Callithrix jacchus: one gene and its partner. The protein of the gene in region 1 interacts with the protein of each later gene in a biochemical or structural test. Links are inferred from orthologs where the notes say so. Each region holds a gene or a part of one and is shown on either strand. Other genes may lie near its edges.

Region 1 (10,382 bases):
TGTAATCCAAGCTATTCAGGAGGCTGAAGCAGGAGAATAGCCTGAAACTGGGAGGCAGAGGTTTTGGTGAGCTGAGATTGTCCCACTGCACTCCAGCCTAGATGAAAGAGGGAGACTCCACCTCAAAAAAAAAAAAAAAGTTCTATAAAATATTGAGTAGAGGCTGGGTGTGTTGGCTCACGCTTGTAATCCCAGCACTTTGGGAGGCCGAGGTGGGTGGATCACTTGAGGCCAGGGGTTCAAGACCAGCCTGGCCAACATGGCAAAACCCCATCTCTACTAAAAATATAAAAATTATCTGGGTGTAGTAATGCACACCTGTAATTTCAGCTACTTTGAGGCATGAGAATTGCTTGAACCCAGGAGGTGGAGGTTGCATTAAGCCAAGACTGCGCCACTGCCGTCAGCTTGAGTGACAGAGACTCTATCTCAAAATATATAGAGAGAGAGTAGAAAGAACATGCAGAGTTCATTTTAATTTATGTGTTTAACACCACAGAATAATTTCACCTGTCTTTTTTCATAATGTTTTCCTGTATTACTGGACTTTTTACATAACTACTTGTGAAAACAGTTCAGTGTGATTAAATACAAAAGCACTAACAATTTATATTTGGTATACTGGGTTTAGTCAGGTGGGACATGAGAAAATTCTTTGTGTCTGGCAGTGTCACACATTACATAACAGTTAGTATTCTTGGCCCCTTGTAATTAAAATATCTAGTAGCACTACCAATCATTGAGACCACCAATAAATGCTTCCTAGGGAGCAGTAATGATCTTTTTTAAAAAAAACAGTGTTTTTATGATCACTATTCACAGCTATCTCCAGCAGCAGGTAAATGAAAGGCAAGAATTTTTGTGTGTATACTTGTGTCTGGTTTTTTTGTTTATACATTCATCTGTAAGTTTTAGCATTAATAATACTGAATTCACCAGGATGTTTACATTTCGCAAAGTTTTACCAATTCTGTATTTAAATCAAGTTGTTTTTGTTTTTTTTTTGAGACAGAGTTAGTGCTCTTGTTGCCCAGGCTGGAGTGCAATGGCGCAATCTCAGCTCACTGCAAACTCCGCCTCCTGGGTTCAAGTGATTCTCCTGCCTCAGCCTCCTGAGTAGCCAGAATTACAGGCATGCGCCATGCGCCACCATGCCCAGCTAATTGTGTATTTTTAGTAGAGATGGGGTTTCTCCATGTTGGTAGGCTGGTCTCGAATTCCCAACCTCAGGTGATCCACCCGCCTTGGCCTCCCAAAGTATTGGGATTACAGGTGTGAGCCACCGAGCCAAACCTTAAATCAAGTTTTATTGTAGTTTCCTTATTGTGTTTCAGTAAGGAAGTTTTTTGTGTGTTCTTGTGTAAGCTTTTATTAATCATCATCATGTGTTATTCTGACTAAAGGAATGCTAGATAAAACTGCATTTTCTCCTCTGGGGCTTATATTAACAAATGAGTCATCAAACTTTTACATTTAACAGAATCACCTGGGAGCTTGTTAAAGCACATATTGCTGAGCCCCACCCGTATAATTTCTTTTTGTTGGTTGGTTGGTTGGTTGGTTGGTTTGGGGTTTTTGTGTTTTTGTTCTGTTTCGTTTTTTTGAGACAGGGTTTCGCTCTGTCACCCAGGTTGGAATGCAGTGGCATGATCTTGACTCACTGCAACCTTGCTGCCCAGATTCAAGCAATTCTCCTGCCTCAGTCTCCCCAGTAGCTGGGATTACAGGCATGCACCCACCACACCTGGCTAATTTTTGTATTTTTAGTAGAGATCAAGATTCACCATGTTGGCTTGGCTGATCTTAAACTCCTGACCTCAAGTGCTCTGCCCACCTTAGTCTCAAAGTGTTGGGATTATAGGCATGAGCCACCACACCCGATCCAGAGTTTCTGAATTAGTAGGCTGATGTGGGGGGCCTGTGGATTTATGGTTCTAACAAATTTCCTCATGATGCTGATGCTGTTGGATTGGGGAACACAATTTGAGATCTACTATACTAACAAACTTTATGATTCCATTATGTTTTAGGGAGCAATGGACCACAGAAATTCTGCATTGAAAAAGTTGGGAAAGAAAACTGGCTACCCAGAAGTCATACCTGGTAAGTACAATCAGAAAAAATAGAGAAAATAGCCTTTGTCCAGTTATCTGTAGCTATTTAAAGCCAGCTAGAAATTAAAAGTGATATTTAGTAGATTTAGAGCGCAGCACAGCCATCACAGCAATGCTGTTTTAGAGCATTTTGTTTACCCCAAAATGATTTCTTAAAACTATTTGCAAACAATTCCTTTTTTCACATCTGAATTTTTTTTTTAATGTGGGATTTAGAATTCTTTTAACTTTTCTCTAAAAGCAGAAAAAGAAGTCAAAGTTAGGAGATCTACTTTATAAGATCATGACCACAAATACTCTCATTTTAAATCTAATTTAATTACATTTCTAGAAATGTAGAAAACCAAATCTAATCCTTACCTTAGAGCAAATGTATTAATACTTTGGAATTCAACCTAATAACAATATATTTTAGTGATCATATATGGTCCTTGCTGGACATCTGACCTCTTTACTGTTTTATTGTCTATTCCTGTTTGTTTTTATACATGTTTTATATATACATGTAATGTTTTAGTAAGAATTTTATTGCTATATAAAAACTTACCCTCTTAAATTATACAGTAGAGTTCAGTGGTTTTTAGTGTATTTACGAGGTTATGTGAGCATCACTACTATCTAATTCCAGAACATTTTTTTACGTTCCCCAAAATCCATGTACCCATTAGCAGTCACTCCCCATTTACCCCCTGTGCAGTCCTTGGTAACCACTAATCTACTTTCTGTCTCTATGAATTTTTCTTTTCTGTGCATTTCATGTAAAATGAATCACAATAAATATATGACCTTTTTTTTGAGACAGAGTCTTGCTATGTTGCTCAGGCTGGGGTACGGTGGCACAAGCTCAGCTCACTGCAACCTCTGCCTCCTGGGTTCAAGTGAGTCTCCTGCCTCAGCCTCCTGAGTACCTGGGACTACAGGCGTGCACCACCACGCATGGCTAATTTTTTGTTTTTAGTAGAGACAGGGTTTCACCATGTTGGCCAGGCTGGTCTTGAACTCCAGACCTGGTGATCCACCCACCTTGGCCTCCCAAAGTGCTGGGATTACAGGCATGAGCCACCATGCCCAGCCAAATATATAACTTTTTTGTGTGTAGTTTCTTTTACTTAGCATGTTTTCAATGTTCACCCATAGTCTAGCATATATCAGTATTTCATTCCTTTTTAAAATTGTTGTGTTTAATATACATAACATAGAATTTACCATTTGTGTTTATCATTCAGTGGTATTAAGTACATTCACATCATTATGCAGCCATCTCCACCATTCATGTCCAAAAATTGTTTCTTTTCTTTTTTTTTGAGACATACCTCACTCTGTCACCCAGACTTGGAGTACAGTAAGTAGCTCGGTCTTCACTCATGCAGCCTCCACCTCCCAGGCTCAAGTGATCCTCCCACCTTGGCCTCCCAAGTAGCTGGGACTACAGGTGTGTGCTACCACACCTGGCTAATTTCTAACTTTTTGTAGAGACAGAATCTCACTTTGTTGTTCAGGCTGGTATTGGCCTCCTGAGCTCAAGCAGTACTCCTGCCTTGGTCTCCCAAAGTGCTGGGATTATAGGCCACTGTCCTGACCCAAAACTTTTCATCTTGCAAAATTGAAATAGTACCCACTAAAGCAGGGTTCCTCAAGTCCTGGTCCCAGCCTGTTAGGAACTGGGCTGCACAGCAGGAGGTGAGCAGAGGGTGAGTGAGCATTACTTGCTGATCTTTGCCACTTGCCAGTTCAGCAGAGGCATTAGATTCTCATAGGAGCAAGTACCCTGTTATGAACTGTACTTGTGAGGAATATAGATTGCGCATTTCTTATGAGAATCCAATGATCTCAGGTGGAACAGTTTCTTTCCGAAACCACCTCCCTCCCCACTCCTGTCCATGGAAAAATTGTCTTCCACAAAAACATTCCCTGTTGCCAAAAAGGTTGGAGACTGCTGCTTTAAACAATAACTCCCCATGACTCCCTCTCCCCAGGTCCTGGCAATCATCATTCTACTACTGTTTCTATGATTTTTGACTATCTTTAGTACTTCTTAAGTGTAGAATCATACCTTATTTGTCCTTTTGTGACTGGCTTATTTCACTTAGAATAGTATCTTTAATTTTCATCCATGTTGTAACATGTGTCAGCATTTCCTCCTTTTTAATGGTAAATAATACTTGATAGTCTGAATATACTACATTTTGTTTGTATATTCATCTCTCCCTGGACACAGGTTATTTCCACCTTTTGGCTATTTTGAATAATGCTGCTATAAACATAGGTATACTGTGGTAGAATATAGGTATATCTACCCATGTCCCTGCTTTCAATTGTTTTAGGTATATACCCAGAGGTAGAACTGCATGATTGTATAGTAATTCTATTTTTAATTTTTTTTGGGGGGGGAAATCTCGCCATACTGCTTTCCATAGGGGCTACACTCCTTTATATTCTTACTAGTAGTGCAGAAAAGCTCTGATTTCTCCACATCCTCACATCCTTTTCAACTCTTGTTTTCTTCTTTTTGTTGTTGTTGTTTTAAATAATAGCCATCCCAGTAGGTGTGAAGTGTATCTTATTTGCATTTACCTAATGACTAAGGATGTTGAGCATTGTTTTCATGTGTTTATTGGTCATTTGTATATCTCCTTTGGAGAAATGTATCCTTTACCCATTTTTAAATATTGTTGAATTCTAAGTTTTTTATATATTTTAGATAGCAGTTCTTTATCAGATATATGATTTATAAATATTTTTTTCCATTTTTGAGTTATTTCACTTTCGTGACGGTATCCTTTGAAGCACAGTAGTTTATTTTTGTGCTTCTATAGGAGTGGTGTTATACTACACTACTCATTTGATTCTTTGCATATTTCCTTTTCTCAAACTAACAATTCTTGCTTTTAGTTTTAATCGCCTGGACCTGCCACCATACAAGAGCTATGAGCAACTGAAAGAAAAGCTGTTGTTTGCCATAGAAGAAACAGAAGGATTTGGACAAGAGTAACTTCTGAGAACTTGCATCGTGAATGGGCAAGAACTTGTTTGCAATGTTTGTTCTTCTCTGCCTGTTGCACATCTTGTAAAATTGGACTGTGGCTCTTTAGAGAGTTATCTGAGTGTAAGTAAATTAATGTTATCATTAAAATTTATCACCCAGTGATTTCTACTCACCATTTCCAGAAATCAGGTCTGCAAATGACTAGTCAAAACTTTGCTTAACATGAAATTTTAACACAGCAATGAAATCTGCCTTGTCTTATTCCACTAGTTTGTTCCCTTAACAATTTTGTATATAGGTCAAAAGTTTCACTTGGGAGTAGGTTTTTTTCTTTTACAAATTCTGGAGATAAGCAGGGAAGTCCTTTGGTAACTGCAATATACAAGATCTTCCTATTAAGCCTCTTGGGATGAGGCATTTGTTAAAAGTGCAAACTTACCCCAGCTTCTGGGGATGTGAGCAAAATTTTGGCTTGTGTTCTCCTCATTTTAGTCTGACTTGACTATTGTCTTTCCTTTCTGGAGCATGAATCCATACATCATTCCTGGAAGTGATGCAAAACTACTGCATCTCTCTACAAAGTAGTTTTGTCAATTTGAATTCAGGGAAAAGTTGGTCACAGCCTCTAAATAATTTCATTTGGAAGTTTGATTGTTTTAGTTGCCTGGCAAATACTACACTTTACGAACAATATTAACACTGTGATTCCTTCGTTGTTGTTTTAAGTTAACCTAGGGCCAGGCGTGGAATCCTAGCACCTTGGGAGGCTGAGGCAGAAGGATCCCTTGAGGACAGGAGTTCAGGACCAGCCTGGGCCACATAGGGAGACCCTGTCTCTTTTGGGGGGAAAAATAAATGGGAAAAAAGTTAACCTAGAATTAGAATTAATTTAATTGAATTCATCTAAGGACATCACTGGTGATTTTTATATGTTCTACATAACTGATGCTTTATAATTTTATCATAATCCAACAACTTCAGTTTATATTTAATTATTGTTAAGGAGTTTAAGACTAGAAAGACAAGAGTGCTTTCTAGTCCAAATAGAGGTCAATGAAATAGCTTCTGACATCAAATTTTCATTTGAGAGGGAGAGCTGTGGTATGGGCTAAAAAGAAAGGAAGATAACGTCCAGTAACTACAAGAATATATTCTCTGTGAATTAAAAGTCTTCAAATTTATCATTTCTCTGACATATGTTGGAGTAGTCATTTCCATTCTTTACATTGTCCTGAAATGGTTTGATATCCCTCATCTGCAATATTCTTTTTACCCTTAAAATTTTTAGCAGGGTTTTCTTTTTTTCTCATGACTATTTTAAGTTTAGATTGCTCCATTACTAACTGATTAATGTACTTTGAAGTTCTCTGGAGTTAATTCTTTTAAATTGGCCTAGCTTAGACTGTCAAGATGGCTGTTATAAATTGGACTTTATGAGCAGTGGAATGAAGCCTAAGCCAGCTGAGTCCCTATTATAGCTGTACTGTGAGGACAGCCTCATAGCTCATGTATAAGGGACTTTGCCATGTTTGAGAGGCATAGCATGAACAAGTAATATTAAGCCAAGAACAAGCAGCAGAACCCTGTTCCATATGGAAAAAAATATTTTTTTTGGCCCTAATGCTCTTCCTTTTTACATCCTGGAACAACAATAAAAACTTTTTTTTTTTAACTTGGCTATCTGTACTCCAAGACACTGCCATCATAAAGCAGAGACTTACATGAGTGAAAAGGTTGCCTCATCAAAGAAACTCAGTGTAAATTGGGAGACTAGGCTCTCCCCAGCCCTGTGGTTTTTTTTTATTTCATGTACCCCAGGAAATACTGTGTGGTTTCCAGTAGCCCTAGTTGTTAAAAGTAGGGACTCTGCCTTTTTGTTGGTAGGGGGGGAAAATGCTATTGCTTTGTCTTACAGAGCGAATGTCTGCCAACTACCCGTTCATTATATAAGTCTGAACTTCGTAATATATGGCTAATGAAGATTAAGCCCTCTATAAAGACTTCCTGTTGAGGTGAATTCTCATACTGAAATGTAGTTATCTACAATATTTACTAGAGATTTATGAGATTAAATTAAGAGATAATGTAAGAAAATAGATTTTTTTTTTGTTCTATATAATGCTTCATGATTCATTTAGGGACCTAGAAATATTGTGTGAAAATATATAAATATCACCCAAAAGGCTTTCTGCCCTATATTTTTAAAATACAGAATAGTTATATTTGAAGTAGCCCTGGCCCTAGTTCTATAGGGCTTGGCTATTTAATATTTTTATGGAAGAAGTGTTTAGTTCTGGAAAAGGTAAATGCTTGTATATATTTTTGCAGCCTGGGATCTCCCTACTCCATTTTTCCCTTTAATTTAAGTGGCCACATGTATATGTCTTCCCTGCTGTGTTAGGAAAATGGGGGCTGGATATCCCAAGAATCAGAGGTTATATAAAAATACTGCAAATAGATAGCAGACATAAATATCTACCAAATGCTATCTTAAATTTTGGTCCAAACTGAACATATGGAAATAGATTTATTGTAAGTATTTACGTAGACCTTTTTCTTAAATCTGAACTAAATTGCTTTTAGAATTCTTTCTCTTTGTAAGCATTGTAAATGCTAATAAATCCTGTTAATTATTATTATTTTTTTTTACTGCATGTTACATTGAAATAAAAACAAAGTAAAATGAGCAATTGCCTTATTCTTCTGCTCTTTTGCAGGGGGCAGGGGTTGGGGAAGACAGCATTCCACAGCCTGGTCAGGAGGGAAGGACCTCACTTTTTTGATCAAATGGAGTGGTTTAAAACTGATCAAACAGCTCATAATAATGAATTCCTGCTCTGTCTTTTATTATGTCAGAGTACAGAAGAACCTCATTTCATAAAACTTACAATAACTCTATTTAAAATTCAGGTATTGTACTTGGGAGGCTGAGGTGGGAGGATCGCTTGAGTCCAGAAGTTCAAATCCAACCTGGGCAACATAGCGAGACCCTGTCTCTTAAAGCAACAAAAAGACATATTCAGGTACTGATTTTTCATCAAGAGATTGACATACCAATGACTAGAAATTTTAGTGAAACATGTTCAACTATACACAAAGTTCTCATCCTAAACGAACTATTTCAATCAAGCCCGCTCTACCACTTTTTACTTATCTGGTTAATAATCTGAAATGTTAATCAGGGTTGACTCATGGAATTAAACTTTTCCTCTTGTTTTGGATGTTACTTCATCTTTCTAAACTCCTTTAGAGTTAACTACTTCTATTTAGTATTGTTGGCATCTCCAGCCCCCACCTCCTTTTTTTTTCTTTTAGTTATTTACAAAATTGTTGGTATATTTGTATATTACTGTATTAAGAGTACCTTTATTTTCTTGATCTGTTACTTCTAATACTCAGGTAATGCTACAAATATTACAGGAAGTCAAATGCTTTCATAAAGTTCCTTCAGTGGTTGCCTCACTTAACGTTTTCCTAAAAGATGTAAAACTGTTTATAATTAAACTTTTTGGTCCTTGATTTGCATGCTTTTCTGTTAGTCATGGGTAAGATGGGGTCTCTTTACTCTTTCCCCGGCCCCGCCTTCAGAGAAGACTTAAAATGACTAGGTCACATAGACTTCTGCCTCTCTGCTTTTTTATGTGGCAAGTTACAGTATGTCTGTATTGTGGTATTGTTCCCGGACCAAAACAAGGGTCAGGCTCCTTATTCTTGCAGCCCAATAATGAGGTGCAGATGAACTGGGAAAGGAGGGAGTTTACTTCAGTAATGGGTATGGGGAGAAGGCCTGGAAATTATCCCCAGACCAACTCAAAAGTACAAAGTTTTCCAGAGCTTATTTACCTTCTAATCTGTATGTCTATGTGTAAGTGTGCATTCATCTAAAGACATAAGTGATTAGCTTTTTTAAATCTATAACTAAGATCTGAGTCCCAAAGACCTTCTTCTGGAGCCTCAGTAAATTTACTGAATCTAAATGGATCCAGGTGCTGGGGTGAATGATTACCCTTCAGACCCCCCAGTAAACTTGTTTGTGGGGGCCTTCAGAAAAAGTTCCTTCAGACCCCCAATAAAACTTGTCTAATCCTAAATGGATCCTGTTAATTCCTTTGTTATCTTGTCATGCTTCAAGGCCCAGGAAAGGCCTGGGCAAAACCCTTGGTGGGCTTTTGTATAAGGGCCCTGACTTTTTTAGCTTTTAATATTTAACTTAACCACTCAGTCAGTGCTGAAACAGTTGTTATGGAGACCTGTGTTATTAAGACCTGGCCTACCACAATATGAGTAAAAATACTAGAAATTGCTACGCAGATGAGACTGGATTTGGTGCCCATGTTGAAGATGAAGATATCTCCAGGGGCTGTTGACTAACATGAAGGCCTCCATGTGAATTGTTTTCTGAGACAACTGAAAGATGGGACCACAGGCAGGAGTGCTAAGTAGAGAACCACCAACTAGCTAGCTATCAAGACTGTTACCAAGAGTGTTATCAACCAGCTGGCCTGCTTACCATCTTCATAGACCTTTTTCTTATTGGGAAACTCAGGTGATTATGCTCTCATTTAAAACAAAACCAGTGGAAAGGGACTAAGGCAAGAGGAATTTTTTAATACAGCTGATCTAACATGGGCCTAGGGGACAGAAACTGCAGGCCTCTCCCAGGTCCTGAGTAGCTGTTTAGTCTGTCCAGTGGAAGCTGCTAGAATGCTGTAGTTTCAATGTGCTTAGAATAAGGGACAAGATATGTCCCCCTCAGCATGTGGAAACCTATGGGGAATAAGTAATTGTTCTTATTAACCATTGTCTCTCATCCAAAACCCTACAAAGCATCAAACTGGGACTCAGCTGTGGCTGACTGGCTGTTCTCTGGACTTTTCAAGTGTCTCAAACATTGTATAACTCTAGGAGTTGCTGTCTCTCCCAGCCTATTTCAGTTGTCGAATCTTCCATGTTTGTAGGACTCCTTTGTGATCAGGATATCTGTAGTGAGGAGCCAGGAGAAACTTTGTGGTTGGCAAGGAAAAGAGGACCTTAAACATAAACCCCCAAAGGACACTGTTGATCCCTTGTAAACAGGGTCCTGTTAATAAGTGAAGAGTGGCTATGAACAAAGGGATTTCCTCAAAGCACCCCGCAGGGAAGAACCTGGAGAATTTGTAGTCATACTTGCAAGATCACTAAAAACAGCCCTCCTGTTACTTTTCTTCTAATTCAGACCTGTTCTTCTATTTGTCTTCCATATCATAGCAACCAATACCCCACACCAACATTCACTTAATACC
Region 2 (9,962 bases), on another chromosome or scaffold:
TCTGGAGAAAGAGCTGTTTGACCTCTGGTTGTGCCGCTTTGGTTGTGTAGCTTGGAGGCAAAAGGATAAACAAGTGGGCTGGGTGAAGTGGCTCATGCCTGTAATCCCAGCACTTTGGGAGGCCAAAGCAGGAGGATTGCTTGAGCCCAGGAATTCAACACCAGCCAACAGAACATAGTGAGACACCACTTCTACCAAAAAGAAAAAGAAAAATTTGCTGGGCATGATGGTGCTGACCTACAGTCCCAGCTACTTGGGAGGCTGAGGTGGGAGGATTGCTTAAGCCTAGGAGGTTGAAATTGTAGTGAAACAAGCTCATGCCACTGCACTCCAGCCTGGGCAACAGAGTGAGCCTCTGGAAAAAAAGAGAGGGAAAAAAAGATGAATAAGGGTACTTACTGGCCTAAGGGAGCTGGATGCCATGTGGCTGGGGTGCTTTGCCTGGAAGAAAGGAGGACAAAGGGCACCTGGGGTCCCCTTTAAGGGAGGTGAATAATCTCCCTGCTGGGTGGCCCCCCACCTAACTCCCCTCACACACTAACAAAAACCTGGCCAAGAAAGAGGCCTTTGTCCTAGGACATCTGAGGCTGAGGGGGGAGGGGAGAAGGCTACAGGTGAAAGGACACATCAAAGCAGCCAGTGGCCCCTCCTCCTCCAAATAGTTCCCCTGCCCTTGTTCCCAGAGCCCAGGTTTTCCTTAAATGAAGGCTATGCCCTAAATGCTCACCTGCTTAGACAGCTGGGAAGCTAGACACCTGGTCCTTACCTCCAACTGCCTTCCACCTTGATATGACTCAGTTTCCCCATGCCTAAGAGAGCCATGGGGACAGCAGGCAACAACAGCCTGTATAAAATGTAAAGGTCATGTTCGAGTGGACCATCAGGTTAGAATTCATCATATGCGTGGAAGAAACGCAGACCTGGCGGGACTCCTGGGAGAGGCCTGGAGCCATGTGTGCCCCCGCTGGCCAGGAGCATGGTGGGGGCGGGGTGTGGGCAGAAACCACATCGGGCTCAAGTTTCCTCTCTTGGCCGAAAGGGGCAGGAGGAGAGGAGAGCCACGGGGAAAGGGGAGGGTTGGAGGCAGGACTGAGAACTCAAGCCGAGGGCTTCAGAGAGAAGGCTGGTGCCCCTGCTTGGGGCTCCCTGTGCTCAGCCTAAGCGTGAGCCTCCACACTCCGTGCTCAGCAATGGCCCGGGGGCGGGGCGCGGCCCTTGCAGATTCTCAAAGGTAGCCGGGATCCTCGTCCAGCAGTGTCAGCTCAGGCTCAGCCTCTCCAGAGACAACACCAGGAGCCTCGTCTTTCTCCTCACCCTGCTGGGACTCTGCCACAGGTGCCTGAAAGGTGGGATGGGTGGGGGGATTCCAGTGGGATTCTAGGGTCAGGCTGGAGGGTGAAGGAGGTGAGGAAGGAAAATCACCAACTTTCAGTATGTTCCTAGGAGACCTCAGACCTTTCTAGATTGCCCCTCGTTTAGCAGTTTGACATCTTTGGGAACTCCTGTAGGAGAAGACCTAAATGGTTTCCCAGGTGTTCTGGGATCCTTGGGGTAGAAGGCTGTGAATGTGGACCAGAGAGTAGTCTCCCGAGGCAAGGCAGCCCTGAGGAGCTGGGGAGTAGCCAGGAAATATCCTTCAACTGGTGGGCTGCCCTGGGGGAACCAACAGATTTCCAGGTATATGATGTCATCCTTTCCCCGACCCCATTCCATTCCTCTGCCCTGTCTAGCTAATTGAGAAGGTTTGGGGAAAGCTAAGGAGTTGGAAACACTGGATATCTGGACCTCTGAGAAGCGTCGCAAGGTTCAGGTGGTTGGATGGGTCGCCCCTGGGTTCTTGCCTGTCGTTGCTCTTTCTCTTCTCTGTGCCCAGGAGCAGTAGGTCAGCGGGACCTGGAGAGGGATGGAAGGCATCCCAACCCCAGCACAGTTGCTTCTAACTGGAACTCTTGGCTGCTTGGGAAATAGGGGCTTGCGAAGCAGTGGAAGAGAAGAGAGGAGATATCAGAACTGCTGGGGCTGGGATTCTCTAGACATTGGTACCAAAGGACTGAAGTTTGGGGTCCAGGGATGGAGTGACAGGATAGCAGAAACTTGTCCCCGTCTCCCTTGTTCTCACACATTTCTTTGAGTCATGCATGTTCCCAGAGCACTGAACTCACGATACTCAAATCTCTCGCCCTCCTTTTTTTCCCCATCATTCTCTGTCTCATCTCTGTGTGTCGCTCTCCCTTTGGGAGTTCTGGGGAGATCTTTCTAAACAGGTTGCTCACCTGCCAACCCAGACTCCAGGTTTTAATAATCCCTCCCTATCCTTTCAGTGCACCTATTGACACCTGGAGAGGTGAGATAGTCAAATAAGCCTTAGAAAAGGGATCCTGAGGCAAGCCTCCTCTCATCGTTCCCCCTTGTCAAGGAAGTGAAGAGCTCTGGGGCAGCGGCCAAGGCCAAATGCCCTCCTCTCTCCATCATCCTCTCCAAATGGTCCCCATTCTGTATTCCTTTTTTTCTTTTACTTCTTCTTCTTTTTCTTTTCTTTTTTTTTTTTTGTATTTTCTTTTCTTTTTTTCTGACTTGGCTCAGCACAGAATTTTTTTTTTTTTTTTGAGATGGAGTTTCGCTTTTGTTGCCCAGGCTGGAGTGCAAAGGCACAATCTCAGCTCACCGCAACCTCCGCCTCCCAGGTTCAAGCTATTTTTCTGCCTCAGCCTCCCGAGTAGCTGGGATTACAGGCATTCACCACCACAACTGGCTAATTTTTGTTTTGTTTGAGACACAGTTTCGCTCTTGTTACCCAGGCTGGAGTGCAATGGCGCGATCTCGGCTCACCGCAACCTCCACCTCCTGGGATCAGCAATTCTCCTGCCTCAGCATCCTGAGTAGCTGGGATTACAGGCACGCGCCACCATGCCCAGCTAATTTTTTTTGTATTTTTAGTAGAGACAGGCTTTCACCATGTTGACCAGGATGGTCTCGATCTCTTGACCTCGTGATCCACCCGCCTCGGCCTCCCAAAGTGCTGGGATTACAGGCTTGAGCCACCGTGCCCGGCCCAAATTTTTGTATTTTTAGTAGAGATGGTGTTTCACCATGTTGGTCAGGCTGGTCTCGAACTTTTGACCTCATGATCAACCCGCCTCAGCCTCCCAAAAGTGCTGGGATTACAGGCTTGAGCCACTGCACCCGGCCCCACTCTGTATTCCTAAGCATGAAGCTCCATATCATTCTGTTAGTACTTAGGCATTATGATAAAACTTTTTCTGGGTAGGACCACCAAGATAAGAGTAAGGAGGAGTGACAACCTCATTTCTACCTGATCCACAATGTTGGGGAGTAAGAGAAGGAACAGACAACCCAGTGGGAGTAAGATAGTCATGTGGCCTCAAAATGCAAGCTAAACTGTAAAGTAGGAGCTTCTTATTTTAAAAGCAAAAAAACACAGGGAAGCCCACTTCACTTTCCTAGTATCTCTCCAGTTTCTATACCTTCTATGGTGTTCTATTTCATCCAATTCTACCTCCCTGATCTGTCCCACTGCTTGCCAGCTCTCATGTCCTCTGAAAGGAAGGCTCTGGAGACCCAGAGGGACCTATGCCTGAGTGTCTTCTCTAGACACCCATCCTTGAGTGTCTAGAGAAAAGCATCCTGCCCCATGTGCCACCTGGTACAAACTTGCTACCGCACCCAAGAGCTTGCTGGTTGGATTGGATCCAGAGGTTCTTCTCCACTCCCTCTCCCCCAGTCTCCTTCTCCTCTTGCTCCTCTTCTTTTTTTTTTTTTTTTTTGTACTCTGTCACCCAGGCTGGAGTGTAGTGGCATTATCTTGAACCCACATCCTGGGTTCAAGCAATTCTCATGCCTCAGCCTCCTAAGGTGCCTGCCACCATACCCAGATAATTTTTGTATTTTCAGTAGAGATGAGGTTTTGCCATGTTGGCCAGGCTGGTCTCAAACTCCTGACCTCAGGTGATCCACCCATCTCAGCCTCCCAAAGTGCTGGGATTACAAGCACGAGCCACTGCACACAGCCACTGGGGCACTTTTAAAATGCTGATTCCTGGGTCTATGGTTTCTATTCAGTAGATTAGAAGTGGCTTTCAGGAATCTGTGTTTTTACATGTAGCTCAGGTGAATGTGGCACACAATGAAGTTTGTGACTCCCTGAGCTAGATGCAACGTAAGGCCTTTCACAGCAATTGGGTTCCTAGTCCTGTCTCCATTTAATAGAAGGGGCTGAGTGTGAAGCAATTTGCCCAAGGTTGTATATCTTTTTGTTTTTGAGACAGAGTTTTGCTCTTGCTCCCCAATGGTGTGATCTTGTAACCTCTGCCTCCCGGGTTCAAGTGATTCTCTTGCCTCAGCCTCCCCAGTAGCTGAGACTACAGGTTCATGTCACCATGCCTGGCTAATTTTGTATTTTTAGTAGAGATGGGGTTTCTCCATGTTGGTTAGGCTGGTCTTGAACTCCTGACCTCAGGTGATCCACCGACCTCAGCCTCATGTATCTTAAGTGCCAGAAAACCTAGGTCTCCTGCCTCCTAGGGCAGGATCTGTGTACTGCACCTTAGTGTCAGATCCAGGAAGATAAAAGGAGAGACAATGGGGGGTTGGGGTGAGTAAAGAACTATGAAGCAAGAGTTATTGTCTCTGCGCCCTAAACCCCTTCTCCATTCACTTTGCCTTTGGGCAATTTCCGCCAGAACCTGGGTGGAGGAGGGTGGAGTTCCGGTGTTGAAATGGCATCCTGGGCAGACATAAACACCCCACCCACTCTGCCCACTGGCAGAGTTGCCTACACCAACTCCCATCTATGGGGATACAATATAACAAGGGGATGGAGGCAAGGGCTAGGGGATACTCTTTCAAAAGGATCATTTGTAGTTCCTACTAATTTTGTAGTAAGTCAAAGAGCAGTTTCCATATTAAATTGCTGTGATGGGCCATCCTTGTGGTGAGCGGTCTAAGGTCATGCAATTTGAGGTCGTACAGTCCTATCCTCCGTTCTTTTTTTTAAAATTTTTTTTGTTTTTTTTGAGACGGAGTTTCGCTCTTGTTACCCAAGCTGGAGTGCAATGGCAAGATCTCAGCTCACCACAACCTCCACCTCCTGGGTTCAGGCAATTCTCCTGCCTCAGCCTCCTGAGTAGCTAGGATTACAGGCACGCGCCACCATGCCCAGCTAATTTTTTGTATTTTTAGTAGAGATGGGGTTTCACCATGTTAGCCAGGGTGGTCTCAAACTCCTGACCTCAGATGATCACCTGCCTCAGCCTCCCAAAGCTCTGGTATTACAGGCGTGAGCTACTGTGCTGCCTGGCCTCTTTTTTTTTTTTCTGAGACAGGGTCTTGCTCTGTCACCCAGGCTCGAATGTGGTGGCACAATCATGGCTCACAGCAGGCTTAATCTTTCAGGTTCAAATGATCCTTCCCCTTCAGTCTCTTGAGTAGCTGGGACCACAGACGTGTGCCACCATGCCTGGCTAATTTTTGCATTTTTAGTGGAGATGGGTTTTCACCATGTTCGCCAGGCTGATCTCAAACTCCTGGGCTTAAGCGATCCTCCCACCTCAGCCTCCCAAAATGCTTCCGCTCTCCTATGTTTCCTTTACCCTAGTCTGCTTCCCTTTACTTATATGTTAGGGTATGTCTGTGTGTGTGCAATATACACACAGTGTCTGACTCCAAGAGATCAGGAAGGCTCTGCCAAATCTACTTGGAATCTCTTGCTGAAGGCAGGGAAAACAGATTCGAGGAAAGTGGTGTTAGGGAATAGGGAGGTAGCATGAGGAGAGGGACTGACAGAGAAGATAAAGGCAGGGGAGAGGGTTTGCTGAGAATTCCAAGCAGAAAGGGACCTCCAAGGTCAACTTGTCCAACTCCCTGGTTTTACAAATGAGGAAACAGAGGCCCAGAGAAGTGAGACGGCTTGCCCAACATCACACTGCTGCTTTGTGGCAGAGCTACAACTAGAACCCAGGTCAAAAGACAAGGGACTGGAGGGGAGAGTGTATTCAAGGCTCTAAAGCGATATTGACAAGAAGGTGAAAGAGAGACTGACACTCCACAGAAAGAACTGACGAATGTAGATTTCCAACAGAGCTTTGGAGTATGGAGATACAGGGGCAGGATGGGAAGTGCCTAGAAGACATTATAGTTGAGTAGAGTCAGGTTCTAGACTTCATCCTGCTTTTATTTATCAGCTTCAGTCTCGGTGTCTGATGCACCTTTAGAATCTTTATGAAAACCAATCTTACAAACTAAGCTTGCAACACCCCAGTACAGTTCTTAACAAGTGCTTACTAAGTCTTTACTAAGGTTGTTATATTACCGCAGAAGAGGAAAGGCTTGTGGTTGTATGGGTTCGGGTGTGGACCAAATGACCCTGTGAGGACACAGGACCGAGGTCCAGTGTCTCCAGAGCCCATTCCTTCTGTGCCTCTCCTGCCTGCAGCTGATAAACCTCTTATCTGGCCTAGGCAGGGGAGCCCAGGGCCAGGATAGGAGGAGAGGGCAGAGCTGCTATCAGCCGCCAGGCCTGGGCCATATCTTGGAGAGGGGGAGGGGTTGTCTGCTTGACTCTTTCCACAACATGCTCTTGGGGATCCCCAAGCATATATTGTCATCATCTTGGAAAGAAAAGGGTGAGAACCTAACACTGAGGACAGAGGAGGAAAGGAGGGCACCCCTGATGCTGCCCTAGAAAATGGAAAAGAAAACATAGCAAAACAGAAAAGCAGAAGACCTGACTCTGCCCCTAGCCAGGAAAACAGTTTTAGGGGCTAAAAAGGAGGGGAAAGAGTGGGCATTTTTCCTGGAAAAAAGGTAAAGACCTCCTGTGCTGCCAAAGGAATTGATTGTGGCCGTAGTCAGCGAAGTGGAGATCACACCCCATTTTAAGGGATTGGTTGATGAGTCCAGCATGAGTGAGGGTGGGGAGGAAGAGGTCTCTCCTTCCAGGGAGAGGGATCCCTTCCAAGGAGGTAGCGCAAACTTGCTGACCCTAGCAGGTGTTGCTCTAGCACCTCTTTTCTTTGACACAGGATTCTAGAGCCATCTGGGCTTTGGGGGAACCTGGACCACACTCTGGCCCAGTAGGATGTCCCCGTGTCCTCCCCAGCAGAGCAGGAACAGAGTGATACAGCTGTGTACTTCAGAACTAGGAGAGATGGAACTGACTTGGCAGGAGATCATGTCCATCACCGAGCTGCAGGTGAGTAAGGAGGGGGAGGCAGGGGAGGGGTGTGTCAGAGAAGAGAGAAGCAGGGAGTTGGCCTGCACTGAAGCTGGGAGCAAGCAGGGATCAGGCTGGTAATGCTCCAGGCACTGGAAAAGGAAGGGCTGGGAAAGATCTGGATGGAAGGCACTGAGGAACATTGAGGAGTGGAAGAGCAGTGGTGAGGAGGGAAGGGTCTGATTGAGAGTGTAGGCTCTCTCAGCAGCCACATCTCTCTCTACACACTCCCACTCCTGCTCTCCCTCCCTTGCTCACCTTCTTCTCTTCTGACCTCTCTCTCTGATCCTGCCATCTTCTTCCCTCATTTCCTCCCCCTGCCCTTAGCAACTAGGCCGCTTTCCCCCAGGTAGCAGAGCAGTAGTTCAGGGGCCTCTGGAAGGGGAGTCGGACTATGCCAGGGTCCTCTCCTCCTGCTACTTGGACAAAGGGGTGTCTGTTGGCCTAACAATGATGCCTTTGTCCCCAGCTGGGCTAGAGCAGGGTTGCTCCCCTATGTGGGTTGGGGGCCTTGTTTCCAGCATGTTCTCTTCTTCTCGCTGCACCTGGGCAGGGACAGAGGGACTAAAGAGGAGAGGGCAGAGCTTGTGCTGGCTCCCCAAGGAGCTTCTTAGCCCCACGCCTGACCCCTTTTTCTGCCCTGCCACCATGCCTAGCACCCTCAGGATCTGCCCTAGGCACTCTTTCCACACAGCAGCTCCCTCTGCTGGGCATCCGGGGCATGGCCAGAATCTGAACTTGACCCTTCAACCCTAGATAACTGCAGCAGGAAAGGGTTCTGAGAGGTCATCTTGGAGAACAAGGCTTTGACTTCCTGAAGGAAATAAAGGAACATGAGCCATTTTAACCCAGTTAGAACTTCTCCAAGAAGGAGTGTTCATAATTGTTCCAATGTTAGTCTTTTCTGCAGTCCAACCTCAGTGACTTCCATTCTTGCCAAAGTTGCATTTTTCTTTTCTTTTCTTTTCTTTTTCTTTTTTTTGAGATGGAGTCTTGCTCTGTTGCCCAGGCTGGAGTACAGTGGCACCATGTTGGCTTACTTCAATCTCCACCTCCCGAGTTCAAGCAATTCTCCTGCCTCAGCCTCCCAAGTAGCTGGGATTACAGGCGTTCATCACCACACCCAGCTAATTTTTGTTTTTTTAGCAGAGACGGGGTTTCACCATGTTGGCCAGGCTGGTCTTGAACTCCTGACCTCAGGTAATCTGCTGCACTGGCCTCCCATAGTGCTAGGATTACAGGTGTGAGCTGCTGCACCCCATCTTAAACTGCATTTTTCTTGGAACAACTGTATCACAACTTTGCAAGTAGCTTCCAAAGATTTGTGGCAACTTTGTTTCCTTGTTACTATCTCACTGGGTCTTTCAGAAGAATTCAACTTGGTCCTTAGAGAGTGTTGGTTTCTCTTCCTTAGTCTATCTCCAAATCTCTTTGTGTCTTTCTTTACAGGGTCTAAATGCTCCAAGTGAGCCATCGTTTGAGCCCCAAGCCCCAGCCCCATACCTTGGACCTCCACCACCCACAGCTTACTGCCCCTGCTCAATCCACCCAGACGCTGGCTTCCCACTTCCTCCACCACCTTATGAACTCCCAGCATCCACATCCCATGTCCCAGATCCCCCATACTCCTATGGCAACATGGCTATACCAGTCTCCAAGCCACTGACCCTCTCAGGCCTGCTCAGTGAGCCGCTCCCAGACCCCTTAGCCCTCCTGGACATTGGGCTGCCAGCGGGACCACCTAAGCCCCAAGAAGACCCAGAATCCGACTCAGGATTATCCCTCAACTATAGCGATGCTGAATCCCTTGAGCTGGAGGGGACAGAGGCTGGTCGGCGGCGCAGCGAATATGTAGAGATGTACCCAGTGGAGTACCCCTACTCACTCATGCCCAACTCCTTGGCCCACTCCAACTATACCTTGCCAGCTGCTGAGACCCCCTCGGCCTTAGAGCCCTCCTCAGGCCCTGTGCGGGCTAAGCCCACTGCACGGGGGGAGGCAGGGAGTCGGGATGAACGTCGGGCCTTGGCCATGAAGATTCCTTTTCCTACAGACAAGATTGTCAACTTGCCGGTAGATGACTTTAATGAGCTATTGGCGAGGTACCCGCTGACAGAGAGCCAGCTGGCGCTAGTCCGGGACATCCGACGACGGGGCAAAAACAAGGTGGCAGCCCAGAACTGCCGCAAGAGGAAGCTGGAAACCATAGTGCAGCTGGAGCGGGAGCTGGAGCGGCTGAGCAATGAGCGGGAGCGGCTTCTCAGGGCCCGCGGGGAGGCCGACCGGACCCTGGAGGTCATGCGCCAACAGCTGACAGAGCTATATCGTGACATTTTCCAGCACCTTCGGGATGAATCAGGCAACAGCTACTCTCCTGAAGAGTATGCGCTGCAACAGGCTGCCGATGGGACCATCTTCCTGGTGCCCCGGGGGACCAAGATGGAGGCCACAGACTGAGCTGGCGCAGAGGGGTGGAACTGGTGATGGGGTTTTCTTCATTCCCTTCTGATAAAGGTACTCCCCAACCCTGAGAGCCAGAAAGAGCTGAGTTCTCTAGACCAGACGAGGATGACAATGGGAATGGGTGTTTAGAAGTTCCAAGGTGTGTTCAAAGAGGCTTGCCTTGAGGGAGGGCTGGAATCTGTCTTCCCTGACTCAGCTTCTCAGGTCTTCAGCCTCCACCTCTTGTCCAAGCTTTGGTCTATAAAGTGCGATACAGAAATAGCCTTTC

The links.
Region 2: of the proteins of ITCH (region 1) and NFE2, one has a biochemical effect on the other in vitro, tested with the Homo sapiens proteins (2 studies listed by BioGRID, with this or other methods). The link is inferred for Callithrix jacchus from reciprocal best matches to the Homo sapiens genes ITCH and NFE2.

What each region holds. Positions count from the first base shown.
Region 1 is NC_133506.1:4,796,735-4,807,116, reverse strand, and holds the end of ITCH (E3 ubiquitin-protein ligase Itchy homolog), read left to right. Parts: intron 1-2,030; coding exon 2,031-2,103; intron 2,104-5,006; coding exon 5,007-5,106; 3' UTR 5,107-7,786; downstream 7,787-10,382. UniProt on the Homo sapiens protein: Acts as an Acts as an E3 ubiquitin-protein ligase which accepts ubiquitin from an E2 ubiquitin-conjugating enzyme in the form of a thioester and then directly transfers the ubiquitin to targeted substrates.
Region 2 is NC_133510.1:65,248,283-65,258,244, forward strand, and holds NFE2 (transcription factor NF-E2 45 kDa subunit), read left to right. Parts: upstream 1-1,093; 5' UTR 1,094-1,335; intron 1,336-7,040; 5' UTR 7,041-7,096; coding exon 7,097-7,210; intron 7,211-8,680; coding exon 8,681-9,688; 3' UTR 9,689-9,953; downstream 9,954-9,962. UniProt on the Homo sapiens protein: Component of the NF-E2 complex essential for regulating erythroid and megakaryocytic maturation and differentiation. Binds to the hypersensitive site 2 (HS2) of the beta-globin control region (LCR).